Linked DNA regions of Mytilus edulis. The protein of the gene in region 2 binds, or shares a complex with, the protein of the main gene of each other region. Links are inferred from orthologs where the notes say so. Each region holds a gene or a part of one and is shown on either strand. Other genes may lie near its edges.

Region 1 (8,667 bases), about 23 Mb from region 2:
AACTGAAAAATGTTTGACCTTGACCTTTGACCTAGGAAGTTGTACATACATTATGACACATCCTCTGGTGTTGATTAATATACATGTCAAGAATAAACTTTGAAATCATAACGGTTCTCAGGATATAGAGCGGACACGATCTTTATCATAGGACATGCAGTTGTCAACTAAAATCAAAGTTTTTGACCTTGAACTTTGACCTAGGAAATTGTACAAACATTCTGACACACCATCTGGGGTTGTTTAATATACATGTCAACTATAAAGTATGAAATTATAACGGTTCTCTAGATATAGAGCGGACACAATGTGTTACGGACGGACAAACGGACGGACAGACTGATCACTAATTATTCTTTATTTTGTTGGATTACATTAACTAGTATACAGAATTATAAAATATATAACAAAACGCGTTACCTTGGACAAAACCAAAACTGCAAAATAAAAATGTAATGTAAAATGTCTTGTTAAGACATTAGTTTTAGCACGATAACAAAATTTATTAACTGCAACTTGGTATATAAAAATATCAAACATTTGAGGTACACCTTTTATTTTTCTTCGGTCAATTTTGTCAATTCTAAAAGTTGTTGTAATAATGCCCTAGAGTTGAAAGATGGGGTCCGTTCTCATCAAGAAGGCTGGCTGCTGGGAAAACCCAACCATCTCCATGTGTTCTGCTGACGAACCATGAGTAACGGTAGACATATGAAGCAGATTCAAGTCGAGGTAATACAGCCTTCATGTAATTTAGTTGGTCGTTGACAGAGTTTTTCTGCGGACATGCAAATTCGGTAAGCCATATTGGTTTGTGGAATCTATCCCATAATTTCTTTAAGAAATTCATTGTAATGTCTGCATTACACCAATAGGCATGAGTGGCTATGTAATCAACTTGGCAACCATGACAATGTGAAAAAAATTGCTCTAACCATACCACTGGATCTAGGTAACCACCCGGGGCAACGGCAGGGCTTACCAACTTTCTCCCGTGAGCAATTGATTCCAATGATTTCCAGTGAGTTGCTGCATCTTGGGGTGACATATTTGCTTGTTGCCGAAAATTTGGTTCATTGAAACCCAGGACATAGTGGGTGTTGTGTTGTAAATGGACTGGTTCATCAATGTTATGTCGCCATGCCCAGACCATTGGCACATATCCTGATTTTACACTTGACGAACAATGTTTTGTGCTGTGTTGCCACGGAGACTCGTGCCAATCATACCTAAAAGTGTAGAAAAAACGGTTTGCTTAAAAAACAGAAAATTAAACTTTGACACCAGGAGAATAAATCTCCAACCGCGGTTGGCATCGACCCAGTGTTTTTCAATAAACTCTTCATAACCAGGATTAAAATTGTGTATATGTGCCAGACTATATGCGTTTCGTCTACAAAAGACTCATTATTTACTCTCGAATAAAGAAAAGTTACGAAGGTGAATTCGAAGAGCATTGGGAACCAAACATTCATATTTACTTTGCCAAATACAGCTAAAGTAATCTTTTCTTGAGGTAGAAAAGCCTGAGTATTTAAAACATGTTAAGTTTTGTAAACAGTTAATTTATAATTATGAACATATCAATGATAGCGCATGTCAACACAAAAGTGCTGACTACTGAGCTGGTGAATAGTCACTTACCACCAGTGGATATTAGTAAGGGCATCTTCGTCTCCACAATGGTAACTGTGTCCGCCATTTATGGCAACTCCCTTTTTGGTGGAAGCTTCACAAAGACTGAAAATCACCAGCAAGCAGAATGTGTAAAGCATTCCTGTTAAAAAATAAAATGTTGGGCATTAATTGGAAAAGAGCTAAACAACCTTGGTATTCATTGTCGAGGATAATCTTTAGAATGTAGTATCATGGTGAAATTTAAAAAAAATCAAGAATTTAAATCGATACTTTTAGTCGGAAGAGTAAAGTAACACAATAAGCTAAGCATTTCGCTAGGTTATGGGGTTCCTTTTTGGAGATATTTATTTTTTTTAAATGACTCGGAATTGTACCTTATATAAAAAAAAAAATGTTATTATCTGGGTCTCAAATTGAAAAAAAACGAAATCTAGAATTTTGGTGATTTACCTTTTATGAGCTTAAGAAGTCTTATAAGAACAGAAAAATGGGCGTAATGGGGCAAAATTGGTTTACTCTGTATCATGGGGGACAAATTAGGAGTCCGACCATCTGATACAAATTCCTAAAATTGACATAAGTACACCCTTTAATAATCTTTCAAAAATCTGAAGAAAAAAATAATCAGGTTCAAATAGTAGATAGAGCGACAGAGGCAAACCACGTCACATTAGGACTTTAGTAAGAATTACGACCAAATTACTTAAGAACTCTTTCAGATGCCCATAATTGTAAGTGACCCGTTCCAAGTTTATTTTTTCGTCCTGATTATAATTAAAATAGTTTCTACTGGATATTAAGAGAGCAACAATCAATTAATTACATACCTATTAATTCGTTTAGTAGTACGTGTATTCGAAGATATCTTTTCAAGAAACCAAGGAAACTACCCGGTATATGCTATAACTATATATACGTTAACAATAGTTATAAGAAGATGTGGTATGAGTGCCAATGAGACAACTCTCTATCCAAGTCACAATTTGTAAACTAAGGTAAACCATTATAGGTCAAAGTATAGTCTTCCACACGGACCATTGACTCACACAAGCTTTTAGTGTATTTTTTTTTATATTTTTTATTTTTTTCTTACCTTACAGTGGTGTTTGATTATTTTTGAGACTTCTACAACACTAGTGCTATAGTAGTCTCAGATTATTTGAACTAAATGTACACTCACCCATGTTTTGGTATTACAAATCCTGTCGTAATACGACACTGATCTTGTACCTTAACATTGCTTTTCATTTTATATAGACTGTTTATCTTTATCTCTTAAAGATAACCCAGGTGTTAATTTCAAGAATGACAAGTGTTACTATGTGTTTCGATTATGCCACCGATCCAAAAGAAATGACCTGAAAGACCTAGTTAATTTAAAACAAAATATACGTATATATAATTTGGGTGTTGCTTCGGATTTTGATGAAATTCTGAATGTATCTATATCTCGTTAAACTGCATCTGAATTCCGAAAACTAGCGTTTATAGTTTGTAATGATAGTCTTTTGAAAATGTAATAAAGCTGTATAAATGTATAGAATATATGTTAAAAAAATAACGTAAAAGATATGCACTTTTTTCAATTTATATTGGAATTTCTTGTAATTCTTACAGCTGTTAACAGTATCGTTTTAACAATACGAAATTATAAGGGGGTCGCCAGATTCTTTTTGCTGTATGTACTGTCGGGTATTGTGTGAAAAATAGAAAAGTAACGATTGTCTTTTTTGTTGTTTTCCGGTCCAATTTTCAAGTTACATGTATCGAGGCTTATGGATTTCTATTGACTTATAAAAATAAGGAGATGTGGTATGATTGCCAAATGAGACAACTCTCCACCAAAGTTCAAAAGAAGTCGATGTAAGCAATTATAGGCGACCGCAAGAACGTTTCAATAGCTTTAGTTTTGTATTAATAAACACCCTATTTGACCTGACTTGGCACTAACATTAAAAGGTCGTTTGACTTTTTATCTGCACTCAGTTAAAGCCAGTTATTACTTGTTCAGGTATAAATGATAATCGATTCTGGATTATTTCACACAAGAGTTTAAGCAGCTTAAGGCTGTATCCTAGGTGTAAGATGATTGACCATCATTTCACTGCCTCACGGCTTTGGTCCTGATAACGCTTCCTGTCATCTTTAGCACTACGTCCAAGACTCATCTACCAGTACTCCATCATCGAGGTTAGCGGGCTGCCAAGCTGACCAAACTGGCCCTGAAAGCAGCCGTTGTGAAGAAATAACAACAAAATAGTAAACAAACCTAAAAGAACTCTCAAAACCAAGATGGCGACCTCCAAAATGGCGACCACCACCTGTCAAATTGGTACTTTTACTATAGGGTATTATTTAAAGATCGAAATAAGCTAAAAAAAATATTGATAGGTCATGGAGCTCCTTTTTGAAATATTTGATTTTTAAAATATGGCGGGCGGGAAAAGGCTGACTCGGACTTTACCTTATATTTGCATTGGTATTATTTGGGTCTCGAATCACAAGAAAGAAAATCAAGAATCTGTTTAAATTCTGTCAAATGACCTTTTATGAGCTATTTAGAATAGTCTTATGTTAAAGATGAACGGGTTTTATGGAGAAAAATATTTTACCTTGTATCGTATTGAAAAACACCGAGGAATCCGAACAATTGACCCTCACCTAAGAACATCCTTAAAACAAAGTGCAGGACAAAATTTTCTTCATCCTAGCTCCCCACCCTAACAAAATCAAATGGTAACTTCTTTATTGAATCCATTCATTTTATGTAAAATAATTCAATTTAAATTTAAATCCTAGCAGAGCAGTGGCGGATCCAGAACTTTTCCTAAAGGGGGGGGGGGCTGACTTACCTAAGGAAGAGGGGGCGCTCCAGTCATGCTTCAATGATTCCCTATATAATCAACCAAATTTTTCCCACGAAAGAGGGGCCCAGCCCCCGCAGGCCCCCCTAGTTCCGCCTATGCAGAGACATGTATACTAAATGTATTTATATGTCTCTGATCCTAGACATCAAACGTGTTATCCACCAGTTTTCAACGCAAATATTGCAGGCAATAGCCCTCTTATTACATGCAGTGCCCTAAAACGAAACACAAGAATGTATGTGCAGCTGCAGAAATGTCTCGTTCACTGACAATTGAGTTTTATGTTGAAAGTCTTAAAAGTAAAGGTAAGACTAAAAGCATCACAGAAAGTCCGGTTCGATAAATGATGTCAGAAAAACATATACACTTACATTTTTTTATTACACAAAATATATTTCAATGATTCAACTTTGAACCATTTCATTTGAAACTGTAATTAATTTGAAAATTAAGCTCGACTAAGAACGTTGTTGTGCTTTGTTCTTATAACTTAAATTTTGTGTTATTGTGTGTATTATAAGTTGCTCTCCGTAAAGGATATCACTTCCGTTTTCATCTAAAAATGAAAAATTCGACAGTCTAAAGTTAAACTACAGATTATAGTACTTTGCGTCTTATTTTCGATGAATGCAATCAAATCATTGTTACAGAATGTTGTGAAAACTACACCACATTCTTATGAAACTGCTCAAGGTTCACAAGAACTGTACATCGACGTAAAAAATAAGAACAACAAACCAGACGTCGTTTCTTCAAATGAAACTGGCAAGACAAAATCTGCAGTGGTGTTACCAGTTATCGACCAAGAATGTAAACAACTCCAGGAAACCATATTTGGTAAATTTTATGACTTTATGTGCACATTCAAGTACTTGTTCAATCTTGTAAAAACTTGGTGTCATGTCAACCTCTGTTGTTACAACCAACCAGTTGAATCCGGGTCCGTTTGCACCCATTCACGTTCGCACCCATTCATGTTCGCCCCTTTCACTTTCGCACCCTACATGTTTGCACTCAAAGTCTGTTTGCACCCAACATGTTCACGCCCAATTTTAATTGGTTTTGTATTTATTAACTATAGCTTTTTTATCAAGTTTTGGCAAGTGTATTCTTATATTTGTTGTCATTGTCTCAAAATAAGTGAGACAGCATTTTTGGAAAATGACGCAGTCATTGTTCCATTACTGGCGACCTGAACTTCATTACATTTCTCTGCCTACCGCGCTTGGTTTCGTATTTACTATTTTCTATACAAACTAGAATCTGCTTGTGTTATCATTAATTATGCATGAGAGGTCATTGTGTAGTAATCAGCCAGGAACCAGTTTACAAACTAACTGGTTTCTGCTTGTATTCCACTAACTCAGACAAAGTGTTGTAGTTTGACGGGAACCAGTTTAGAATTTGTAAACTACAAAACATAATCAGTTATTGTTCATTCCGTTTTGGTGTTTCATACCGACTTTTATGGTTTGAATAAGCTTAAGACCCTTCAAACATTAATGTGATAGGTATATTAAAGACTGTTTTACAAAAGGATGGAACTGTTTTGCTTTCAAAGTCGTACTATAGTGATATCTGTTATGTACGGATTTCCACTCTCTCCGGTTAATTTCTTTTTTTACACGTGCTTTTGAAACTTCCTGTTTAAACATTGCAAGTTTTAAAATTGTTTTTTGAGTGAATTTAACTTATTTTAACAATCATGAAGCGTTCCAGAATCATTTTCAAGCAGTTTCTTCTTCTCTTTGATGATGGAAAATAGGTTTTTCTCAAGAAAATACCGCAAACGATCGCAGAGGAATTGAAACGTACAAGTCAAGTCGGCACCTGGTTAAATTGGCATCTAGTCAAATCGGCACCTATTTGACGTCAATTCGGCATCCAATAATATTTGTTATAATATTTTCTATTCAATTAATTAATAACTGTTACCCAGTACATAGTGAATATGTTGTTGTGTATTTAGGTAAACAACGAAACCAAAGTGAAATTATGTTGTTGTGTATAAAGGTAAACAACGAAGACCTTACCCAAGCTGTTGTTTTAACAATTAGACAATTATTAAAAAAAAATGGAAAACTATGAGTCCCTTTCAATAAATCAAACTTTCATGCCAAATAATAAGCAAATTTAAGGTGTTTTTTTTTCAGTAAAGTCAAGGATTTGTATAGTAAGAAATATATACAAATCCTTGGTAAAGTTTAAAAAGCATTAAACAAACAATCCTGTCAAATGCTCAACTGGTTTAAATAATGCATAAAAATATCCAATATCTCATGTATTAGTCCAAATAATTATGACGTCTGGCAAGGCTATTTTATTTTTTTTCTGTGACGTCTTCCTACGAAGTTCGTAGGAAGGCGTCCCAGAAAAAAATTAACATAGCCTTGCGGTCATAGAAAGGTGTCCCAGAATAAAATTAAAAAAGCCTTGCCAGACGTAATAATTAGTTTGACTACTCATATATATATCATTAAAAATACACCAAAAATGTCATTTAGTTGAGAAAAATAAATATATACAAAATGACTAAATGTACAATGAACACCCAAAAATGTGAAAGTTAGTATTTAACTCTTTTTGCTTAAATACTGAAAAAAATTCTGGCAACCCCTTACTTATTTTTACTCTATTTGCTTAAAATACTGTTAAAATATATATTTAACATGGGTGACGAATTGACTATATCAGGTGTCGATCTAACCAGGTGCTGATTTGTCCAGGTGCCAATTTAACCATGTTAACCAGGTGCCGGTTTGACTAGAATTCTTTGACAAATGTTTGAAATTACCGGAGTTTCATTAGACCTTTGATAACAGTAACAAAAAGATTATTTACTTAATATTTTGTGGTATCAGGTCTGTTCGCCCCCAATACACTTTCGCACCTTGCAGGTTTGCACCTCGCACGTTCGCACCTCGCACGTTCGCACCCAAGGTCCGTTCGCACTCTACTCATTCACGCTCAATTTTAATTCAAATTCAAGTTGAATAATTGGAAAATCATGATTGTTGTTTTAAATTGCTTTGGTGTAAATACTGAATATATTTATAGCTTGGTATGAGTAAAACATTGAAGATTTTAAAGGAAAAACACAAAAGATAATTGTTTTTAACAGCTTGGTCCCTTTGATCTGAAACAACGAAACAATAAAATATGGGAACCAAAATATAGCAATCCACTATTATAACCAAAACTTGATAAAATCTATTCAACACACAGAAAAAAACATAGTCAGAATCTCACTTCATTTTGAAAGAAGTCAATGAAACAAAGTTATAGCAATACACTAACCAAAACATGATTAAGAGTTATTCAACACAAAATAAAACGTTGACAAAATACCACTTTAATTAGAAAGGATTATTATTATTTTTAACAATACGCTATCCAAAACATGATTAAGATTTATTCAACACAAATAAAAATGCTGTCTCACTTTATTTTGAGACAATGACAACAATTATACTTATAAGAAAACACTTGCTTACAGAGTTATTAAACACAAAACCAATTAAGATTGGGTGCGAACATTTAGGGTGTGAAAGTGAAAGGGGGCGAACATGAGTGGGCGCGAACGGACCCGGATTCAGACTATGTACCAGTGAGAAATATACAAGCCTTTCTACGGTATTTATTTGTACAATTCAGGTAGTCTTGACCTATTCATTTGTCTTAAAAAAACAGCCAGTTGTCACCTTCACTTCACACACACACATATATACGAATATCAATTATATGCTTACAAGACATGTTGCATTGTTAAACTAATTACGGTATGTGAAAATCAAGACTTGCATAAAAACTATCCCAATATTAGAGACAGTGGCGTCATTTTTCTTCAGAGCTTTCAGCTCTTTGATTTTTTTGTGTTGAATAAATCTAAAGTCATGTTTTGGATAGTGTATTGTTAAAAAAAAAATCCTTTCTAAATAAAGTGGGATTCTGTCAACGTTTTATTTTGTGTTGAATAACTCTTAATCATGTTTTGGTTAATATGAGGCAGGCATTACCTGTGAATGGGGACGAAGTTTGTTTAAATTATTTTTTTGTTAAAAAAAAGATACGGAAATACCGTAACGTTTCCGATTTTGGTTCTGTTGTTAGGCATTTTACTTGTGACGTTATTTAAGTTATGACGTCATGTTCAATGTAAACA
Region 2 (8,750 bases):
TGAAATGGGTCAAAAATCTAATTTGGCATTTGAATAAGACAAACATATCATAAAGAACATGTGTACTAAGTTTAAAGTTGACTTCAACTTCATCAAAACTACCTTGAACAAAAACTTTAACCTATTGCGTGACAGATGGGCGGACAGACGGAAGAAAGAATGTACATGTAGGAACAAACAAACAGACGTACAGACCAGAAAACATAATGTCCCTCTACTATTGAAGGCGGGCCATAAAAACAAATACATTATACCAGCACATACAAAATTGGACAATTGTGACTTACTACATCTTGAGGTGTACATATACTGTAAATAAATAACTCATTTTATAATCAAGAAATATATTTCATTTTGTTTGAAAATGACTTTTTTAAATTGCTAAACTTTTCTGTTGAAAGACCTATTGTATTTGTTCTGATTATTTTTTTTTTCTTCTTGCGCCAAATTTCAAAATATTTTTTATGATTTCGCAAGATGTCGCTTAAATTTTTGCAGATGATATTGAACAGTTCTTGTCCAATTTTGAAAGAAGTAATATGAAGACTCCATATGAGAGTTATTTCCCCTAATGCATTTGAAATTTAAGTGAAGTGCATTTGTAACTGGTAAACCATAAGTGATACAGTCCTTGGTCCAAAGAATATAAAACTACGTCAAGGTCAAAGGTCAAGGCCAAATTCTAAATTTCAATTTTTCTTTGTTCCATTTATTTATTTCCTCTTGTCACTTTGAAAGATATATATATATGCATAAAATTGTTGGTTGACATGTGACCTTGAAAAAAATTGACCGGAAAGGACCGGGGGGAAATCTGGTTGTAGAATTAGGATTAGGATCTAATGGTAATAACTTTTGCCAAATTGGGATGAGCAATTTTCTGAGCTCTAGATTACCAAAATGGATAAGTTCTTATGCCATATGGATAAACTTATGAGGGTCATCATGGTCATAATTAAGGTTCCTTCATTATCATGATTATGTTCATAAAGAATAACAATAAAAATCTTTCCATATTGCTAATGTAAAGTTTTGGTACATGAAAACAAAATGAACATTTAATGATAAAAAAATCAACTGATTTGAAGAATCATGTTATTTATTTACAAATAATAAAGGTAATGGATAATTATTGGAGACCTCTGATAAATCATGATTGAAGGAACATGTTGAGGAATCCCGATTTGATGCTGACATTAGCCGAAAATGGCTAATGATGACAGTAAGGTGCATTCCTACCCTCAATTATAACAACCTATTAATAAATTATGGTTCACTATTTTCATATTTTGTTCTAGACTATAGCCTCACCAGACACAATTACAAAGGATTTTTGAACTGTGATTAATATTTTTTATGTAGACTTCTTTTCTTGAATTGTTTATACCATAGAACTTAAGATGTATAAGGCTATACATAATTTTCTGTTCACGTTTGGATACTTTAGTAAGATTTGCGTGACCTCATTTTACGGGGCAAGTGAGCCACATATTATTATACACACGATTCCAAACAGCACTATATTGATATACAATGTATCTTGAAGAAGAAATCAAGGACAACAGTCTAGATTGATAAAAGCATATACACTAATCTTAATCTCAAACACATTTCCATAGGACACATGTAGGAAAAAAAGATGCACAAGTTTGTATTTTACTTCAATTACTTCAGCAGTGGTTGCAGACATGGCAGTCAAAATGTCTGTCGAATGTGTAAAGGAAATATTTGTTTTTGTGTTAGTTCCTCCTTTTAAGGAGCACTAAATTCAAGTTTATCCATCTCGGTGGTAAACTTATCATTCATCATGATATTTTTTAAATAGGTCAACATTTCTTACGGCGTTCTTTGGACTTTTAGATTAAGGTGGTACCCAACACCTTGACTAAAATTAATTTGGCTCGTTTAATTTTCATAAAATTTTGACAAAGTACTTACTTTGACCCTTTGACAAAAAAAGACCTTCCAACTTTTGAAAACCTCCATGGGATTTTTTTTTATGTGTATCGCTTCATCTTATGAAAAACATAAAAATTTCAAAACATTTGAACCAACCATTTAATCAGAAAAATTACACTGGTTATATAGCAGTTTGACAGACAATACTTTTGATCATTGAGAAGCTTAATATTCCCTTATCAACACAATGTACATGATGTAATTAAAACGTTTAGCTGATTTTCAAAAAGTTATCTCCCTGTAGTGTTAGGTACCACCTTAAGTTAACCATGTTAACATATGTTATTTTGACCAAAAATAGGATCACAAGAGTCTAAAAAAAGTCAAATTGTCATATTGTGGGGTCATTTGGGCAAGATAAAAGGCATCACGCATATGAACAGAATCAGGAGATATTTTTCTTTCTATGTATTAACAAAAGAAGGCAATATGCACTTACCTATATATATATATGTTTTTGTTTTTTTTATTTTGCAGGCGAGATTGTCGTTCTTATAATATTTTCAGAATGATTTTGTCATGGTCATCAACATTCACAGAATTCACATGACTTGTATAAACAATTTAATAGGGTTTTTATTTATAGAAACATTTATTGATAAATATAAATAAAATAAAATATGATTTCAGTGGGCCAAAATAGGAAATAATTCGTAATTGTGTCCAGTTGTACATGTACATGTAATTGCGTCCAGTCGGCTAGGGAAACCGATTGATTGGTGCAGTGAGGGATTCAGGGGAGGGTTCCTGGGGTTGGAACACCCATTTTTTTGGACGATCAATGTTTTGGTATGGGGACAAATAGTTCGAACCCCCCTTCTAATTTATAAAAAGGCTGGATCCGCCACTGCTGTGTTTGCTTTAGGCCACAGCATAGAAAAAGGTAATATATATATATATATTAAATGCTACTAATATCCAAAGGCACTCGTCTCAGAATATTTGTTTCTATATACCTTTATATGCACTTCTCTCAGATTTCTTTTCCCTATCATATATTGGGGAAAAAATTCTAAGAAGAGTGCCTGTGTAATGTCGTAATAAACAGGTCAGGAATAACCACCAATTGGTGGATTATACGGTACCTCAATTGACATATAATACACCAGTTGACATATAATGGTATACATGGTATAGACCAATTGACGTATAATTTATTTTTTTTAAGCAAATTATTCAACAAAAATACATGAAATAGAGCATTGTTTTCTTAAAACCATATTATGGTATGAAAACATGTCAAACATTCCTAATTTAGTATAGTGACATAACATATTGCATTTAATCAATAATTGTCAGACTCACAGCCACTGGTTATTCAAAAACCCTCCACTTTTTAATATTTATCAGGTCAGGAATAACCAGTTGCTGAGAGTCGGTGACCGCAGGGGTTTGTTAAAATCGGGGATCGTATGGATACAAAAATACTGAACTCCGAGGAAAATTCAAAAAGGAAAATCAAAAATCAAAAGGCAAAATCAAAAGTCCAACACATCCATGACATCAAACGAATGGATAACAAAGTTCTGTCATATTCCTGACTTGGTACAGGCATTTTCTAATGTAGAAAATGGTGGATTGAACCTGGTTTTATAGCTAGCTGAACCTCTCACTTGTATGACAGTCGTAAACCCGGCAAATGGTAAAAAAACCCTGTGCTGTGACTTATTGTGTAAGACCACCTCCCCCCTTTTCTTCATTAGGCCGCTCAGCAGTAGATTTTTAATTAAGAAATACGTGAACACATAAGTGATCAGCAATCAAAATAAATACCTTTTGTGACCGAGCTTATCGTTGTCCTTTGGTCTGCAACTGTATTTTCAATATAATTTTGAACACAACTTTCCAATTTCATGGGCGCAGCCATCTTTTTCAAGCTAAAGTTGTCTCCCTTTAAATTCCCGCCAATTTTCTAGCTCTTCCAACATTTTTTTCTATCAATAAAATATCAAAAACTCAATGAGCCGTCGGATAAATACAGATTCTTTTTTTAATATTTTGAAGACAAAAGTGAAGTTTACGATTATTTATTGGAAAATGAAGATACGTCAGTTGGTAAACACAGGCGCTTGGGTCTATGATACAGATTTTTTTTTAATTTTTTTTTTTTATTAAAATATTCAATTTTCTATATTTATAATACATATCTATCACTTCTGTGCATGTCTCACCTAGTTTCGAGCGATTTAAACGACCCAGAGAAAATACCAAATTTTACTATCCATAATTCTTAGTATGGATAGTAAAATTTGGTATTTTCTCTGGGTCGTTTAAATCGCTCGAAACTAGGTGAGACATGCACAGAAGTGATAGATATGTATTATAAATATAGAAAATTGAATATTTTAATAAAAAAAAAAAATTAAAAAAAAATCTGTATCATAGACCCAAGCGCCTGTGTTGGTAAACTATATATTGTAATAGCATGTGCTCAATTTTGGCTTTTTTTCTCTATCCTTTCCTATAACTAAGTCATTTGATTTTTATTTTTTTTAATAATCTTAAATTGTACAAGAATTTGCCAATGTTTGTCTGGTATATGAGCAATAAGGACATCTTGAAGTAACTTGCTAAACTGATTTTTTTGTGTAAAGCAAAATTAGTATAAAGCAAAGATATTGCAGAGTTCTTTATAGATGGTTAACTTGAACCTTCTGACCACCAAACTGGTATAAGTACGACGTCATTGCGGTTCTCACACTGTTTTTGACTTAATCCGTTGGTTGTGTTCTGATTGATACATATATCTGGGAGAACGAGATTTATTTGAGTGTAACTTGTTGTTAGCTTTGAAAAAACTTTCAGTAACTACAAATACTTCTATTCTATTTCGGGTGCTCTGTGTTAAATTGCCTTAATGTTAGTTGCTTTTTTGTGTCTCGACTTAAGACTAATATACTGGTATAATTTTTTAATCATGAAAATAGTGATGAATAGAGATATAGTTCGACAGCAAATATGATATATAAGCTTTATAACTGAGCATCTAAATCATAGTCCGAGATTACTCTGACGTCCAACGGCTGTTATGCCAGACAAGCTGTACTCTGACGTCCAACGGCTGTTTTGCCAGACAAAAGCTGTCTGGCAAAACAGCCGTTGGACGTCAGAGTAATCTCGGACTACTAAATCAGGCCTAAAAAATAAGTAAAGGAGCAAAAATTGTGACTCATCTCGCAATTACATGAACATGATGAAGTCATTGTCATAAATGGCGATTTTAACAAATTGGTTTAGTGTTTTTACCTAACGTGTTGAAAACTATGCCCTTTTTGGCAATATTAAAAAGATAAGCAAATTTTTAAGTTCTACAAATAAATCTATAGGGTCGAAATTGTCAATCAACTCCTTAAAGGGTTTCTTTCCCGAAAATTACAATAAGTTACTGTGTGACATGTTTTTCTTTTTCATTACTGCTCATTATCTATAGAATTATATATTACGGAGCAACAGCAACTTGGTCCTGCCAATACGATCAGCATGACACGTTCTTTCAAGTGGATACTTAAAAATTCCAAAGATCTTTTAGAGTACATACAATCTAACTCTCTTTCATCGTGTAATAGTATTAATAAAACATTTTGCTTTTCTACACTTTACACAAGTATTCCACATTCCAAACTAAAAGACAAATTGAAAGAGTTGGTATTGCTTTGTTTCATAAAAAAAGAATGACCAACGTAGATACATGTACAAGCATCTTGTCTTAGGGAAGGATAAGTCTTACTTTGTAAAGAATCACTCTGATACAAACAAAAAATTCTCTGAAACTGACATTATCAAGATGCTTGATTTCTTGATTGGCAACATATTTGTTACGTTCGGAGGACCTTATTTTCAACAGACTGTCGGCATTTCAATGGGTACAAATTGTGCCCCTCTTCTTGTCGACTTGTTTCTTTATTATTATGAGGCTGACTTCAGACAGGAATTTCTTAGGAAGAAGGACAAGAAGTTAGCAATGTCATTTAACTCTACTTTCCTCTATATAGATGATGTTCTTTCAAAAGCTAAATAATTCAAAATTTGGTGACTATGTTGAACTCATCTATTCCATCGAACTAGAGATATAGGATACTACAAATACAGTTAAAGCGACCTCATATCTTGACTTACATCTAGAAATTGACAATGAGGGTAGGTTGAAAACAAAACATTACTACAAAAGAGATGATTTCAGCTTTCCAATTGTAAACTTTCCATTTCTAAGTAGCAACATTCCAGCAGCACCTGCATACGGGATATATGTCTCCCAATTGATACGATATTCCCGTGCTTGCATTTCCTATCATGATTTTCTTGATAGAGGGTTGCTGATCACAAGGAAGCTATTAAACCAAGAGTTCCAAATGGTGAAGTTGAAATCATTCCTTCGTAAATTTTACGAACGCCATCACGAGTAATTGGTTGACCGTTATGGAATACCCGTTTCACAAATGATATCGAATGTGTTCCTTACGTCGTAACTACAATCCCCTTCCCTTTCATGAATGTGCCACATGTGCAGCAGGATCTGCTTACCCTTCCGGAGCACCTGAGATCACCCCTAGTTTTTTGTGGGGTTCGTGTTGCTTATTCTTTAGTTTTCGATGTTGTGCCATGTGTACTATTGTTTGTCTGTTTGTCTTTTTTTCATTTTTAGCCATGGCGTTGTCAGTTTATTTTCGATTTATGAGTTTGACTGCCCCTCTGGTATCTTTCGTCCCTCTTTTGTTTCCTGCACATATGCAGTTTCCATGAACTCAGTAGGCAACATATTGATTTCATTTGATCATATATATTTAATTTATTTTTACAAAATTTCTAGACCTGAACAACAAACAGATCCGTCCAGTCTTTAGATATAAATCCACCTTGCCATCACTCCGTAGTGCGTCGTCCGTCCTCTAAAGTTACGGTACTTAAACTACAGCTCGAGATTAGCCAAATGCTTCGGGTTGTGTAATGTTCTTGTACAAGAGTTTTATCTATAACATAATACATCTGGGTTTTAATTAAGCGGCGCCCTGCAAGTGCTTGCCTTTCAAGTTTGTTTAAATAAAGGCAACAGTAGAATACTAAGTATCGCTGTTCAAAGTGAAAAGTCATAAATCGATTAAGAGAAAACATATCCGAGTCACAAACTAAAACTAAGGAAAACACATCACTATAAGAGGAAAACAGAAACACTGAAAAGTAACAAAATCACACCAAACATACATAAAACGGACTATCTGATAACAACTGCCATACTCCTGAATTTCTAAAGAAAATATTAAGAAAAAAAGGATGGATTGAACCTGGTCTTACGGCTTGACAAACATTCCGCTTATATGACTATACTTTTTCTCTCGTCAAAATGACGAAGGCTAGTGCAAAAATCGATTCAAATGAAATCTACTTGAATAATTGTGTTACTGATGTTGTTATAGCTTTTTTTGATGAATTATGACGCAATTGTTCATTTTTATACTGATTTAGATCATAACACAATGTTGAACCTCTTATTCATGTTATTGACAATTTTACCTATTACGTCTGTTGTTGTTTTTTTCACACATCGTTGTCAATATAATGGAATTTTTTGCGAATGTCATACATATTGCATTTTGCAAGTGATAGATCCGTGTTTTGCTTGCTCGGATTATTAATATTACAAACAATATAATTCTTGTATCTATTCTATATTCTCAAAGATACATATGTACAGTTATACTACAAATCTACAACTCTCAGTCTATGGCTACACGCGCTGTCCTTATCTATGGTCATACATATTCATCAGCTATGTAGGCGTGTCAAAATCGTATCATACGCGATAATGACCAGCCAGTACACACTGTAAAGATTTTATTAACCAGTATTAAAAAGATAAACATATCACAAGTGAGAGGTTTAGCTAGCTGTAAAACCAGGTTTAATCCACATTTTGTACATAAGAATGACTGAATCAAGACAGGAATATATAGCAGTTGTTATCCTTCGTTTGATGTGTTTGAGCTTTTGATTATGCCATTTGGTTAAATATGGACTTTAACAAAAGCTGTTGTTGCTTCTTAATATTCAGTGATGGTACTAGTCGGTCACAATGTGTTTTATTACTTTGCAACATATACTGATTAAAGAAACAAGTCTATTAATTCCATCATGGTAACGATCACCCTTTTCATATGCTGGTTATATATATCGGTCTACCAAATTGGGAGAAACAGGTCAGCACAGGTCAGCACCATAAGACTCGAAAAAACAGTATATATATATATATACTGTTTTTTCGAGTCTTATGGTGCTGACCTGTTTCTCCCAATTATATATATACTGTTTTTTCGAGTCTTATGGTGCTGACCTGTTTCTCCCAATTTGGTAGACCGATTCAGATAGGTGCTATCTGTGTTCTCCGGTCTTTTATATACTGCGGATGCTATCTGGTTCACTGGCTGTGTGCGGATTTATGTTCTATGTTAATTTGTCTTCTCATGCTGGTCTGATTTTGACTTCTGAATTTTATCTGATGGAGGTCGATAGTTACTATCAACACAGTGCCAGAGGTGTTTATTTTTGGCCATACTAATCTCAGGGTCTGTTTTTATTTCTATGAAGTCAGAGCTCATACAATCTTGATAGCTTTGTGTTTGTTGTTTGTAGGTCTATTATCACGTTATACGCTGTATAGTCCAGTCGAATTGTGAAACAATTGCTCAGATTGTGGTAAAAGTTTCAAACTTTGCAGAGTGTTAGTTGATGTGATAACTAACATTTTTAGCTATGAACCCAATTCAGAAAATCAAAATGGCGGCTCTGGGCGGCCATTT

The links.
Region 1: MMS19 nucleotide excision repair protein homolog (region 2) and cytosolic iron-sulfur assembly component 2A-like share a complex: the UniProt entries of both Homo sapiens proteins name them as parts of the CIA complex. The link is inferred for Mytilus edulis from reciprocal best matches to the Homo sapiens genes MMS19 and CIAO2A.

Annotation. Positions count from the first base shown.
Region 1 is NC_092347.1:67,800,375-67,809,041, forward strand, and holds the start of cytosolic iron-sulfur assembly component 2A-like, read left to right. Parts: upstream 1-5,016; 5' UTR 5,017-5,128; coding exon 5,129-5,342; intron 5,343-8,667. Other genes in the region: uncharacterized protein, read right to left, coding at 584-1,229, 1,645-1,777, 2,819-2,822. UniProt on the Homo sapiens protein: Component of the cytosolic iron-sulfur protein assembly (CIA) complex, a multiprotein complex that mediates the incorporation of iron-sulfur cluster into extramitochondrial Fe/S proteins.
Region 2 is NC_092347.1:91,254,146-91,262,895, reverse strand, and holds the start of MMS19 nucleotide excision repair protein homolog, read right to left. Parts: upstream 3,866-8,750; 5' UTR 3,827-3,865; coding exon 3,733-3,826; intron 1-3,732. UniProt on the Homo sapiens protein: Key component of the cytosolic iron-sulfur protein assembly (CIA) complex, a multiprotein complex that mediates the incorporation of iron-sulfur cluster into apoproteins specifically involved in DNA metabolism and genomic integrity.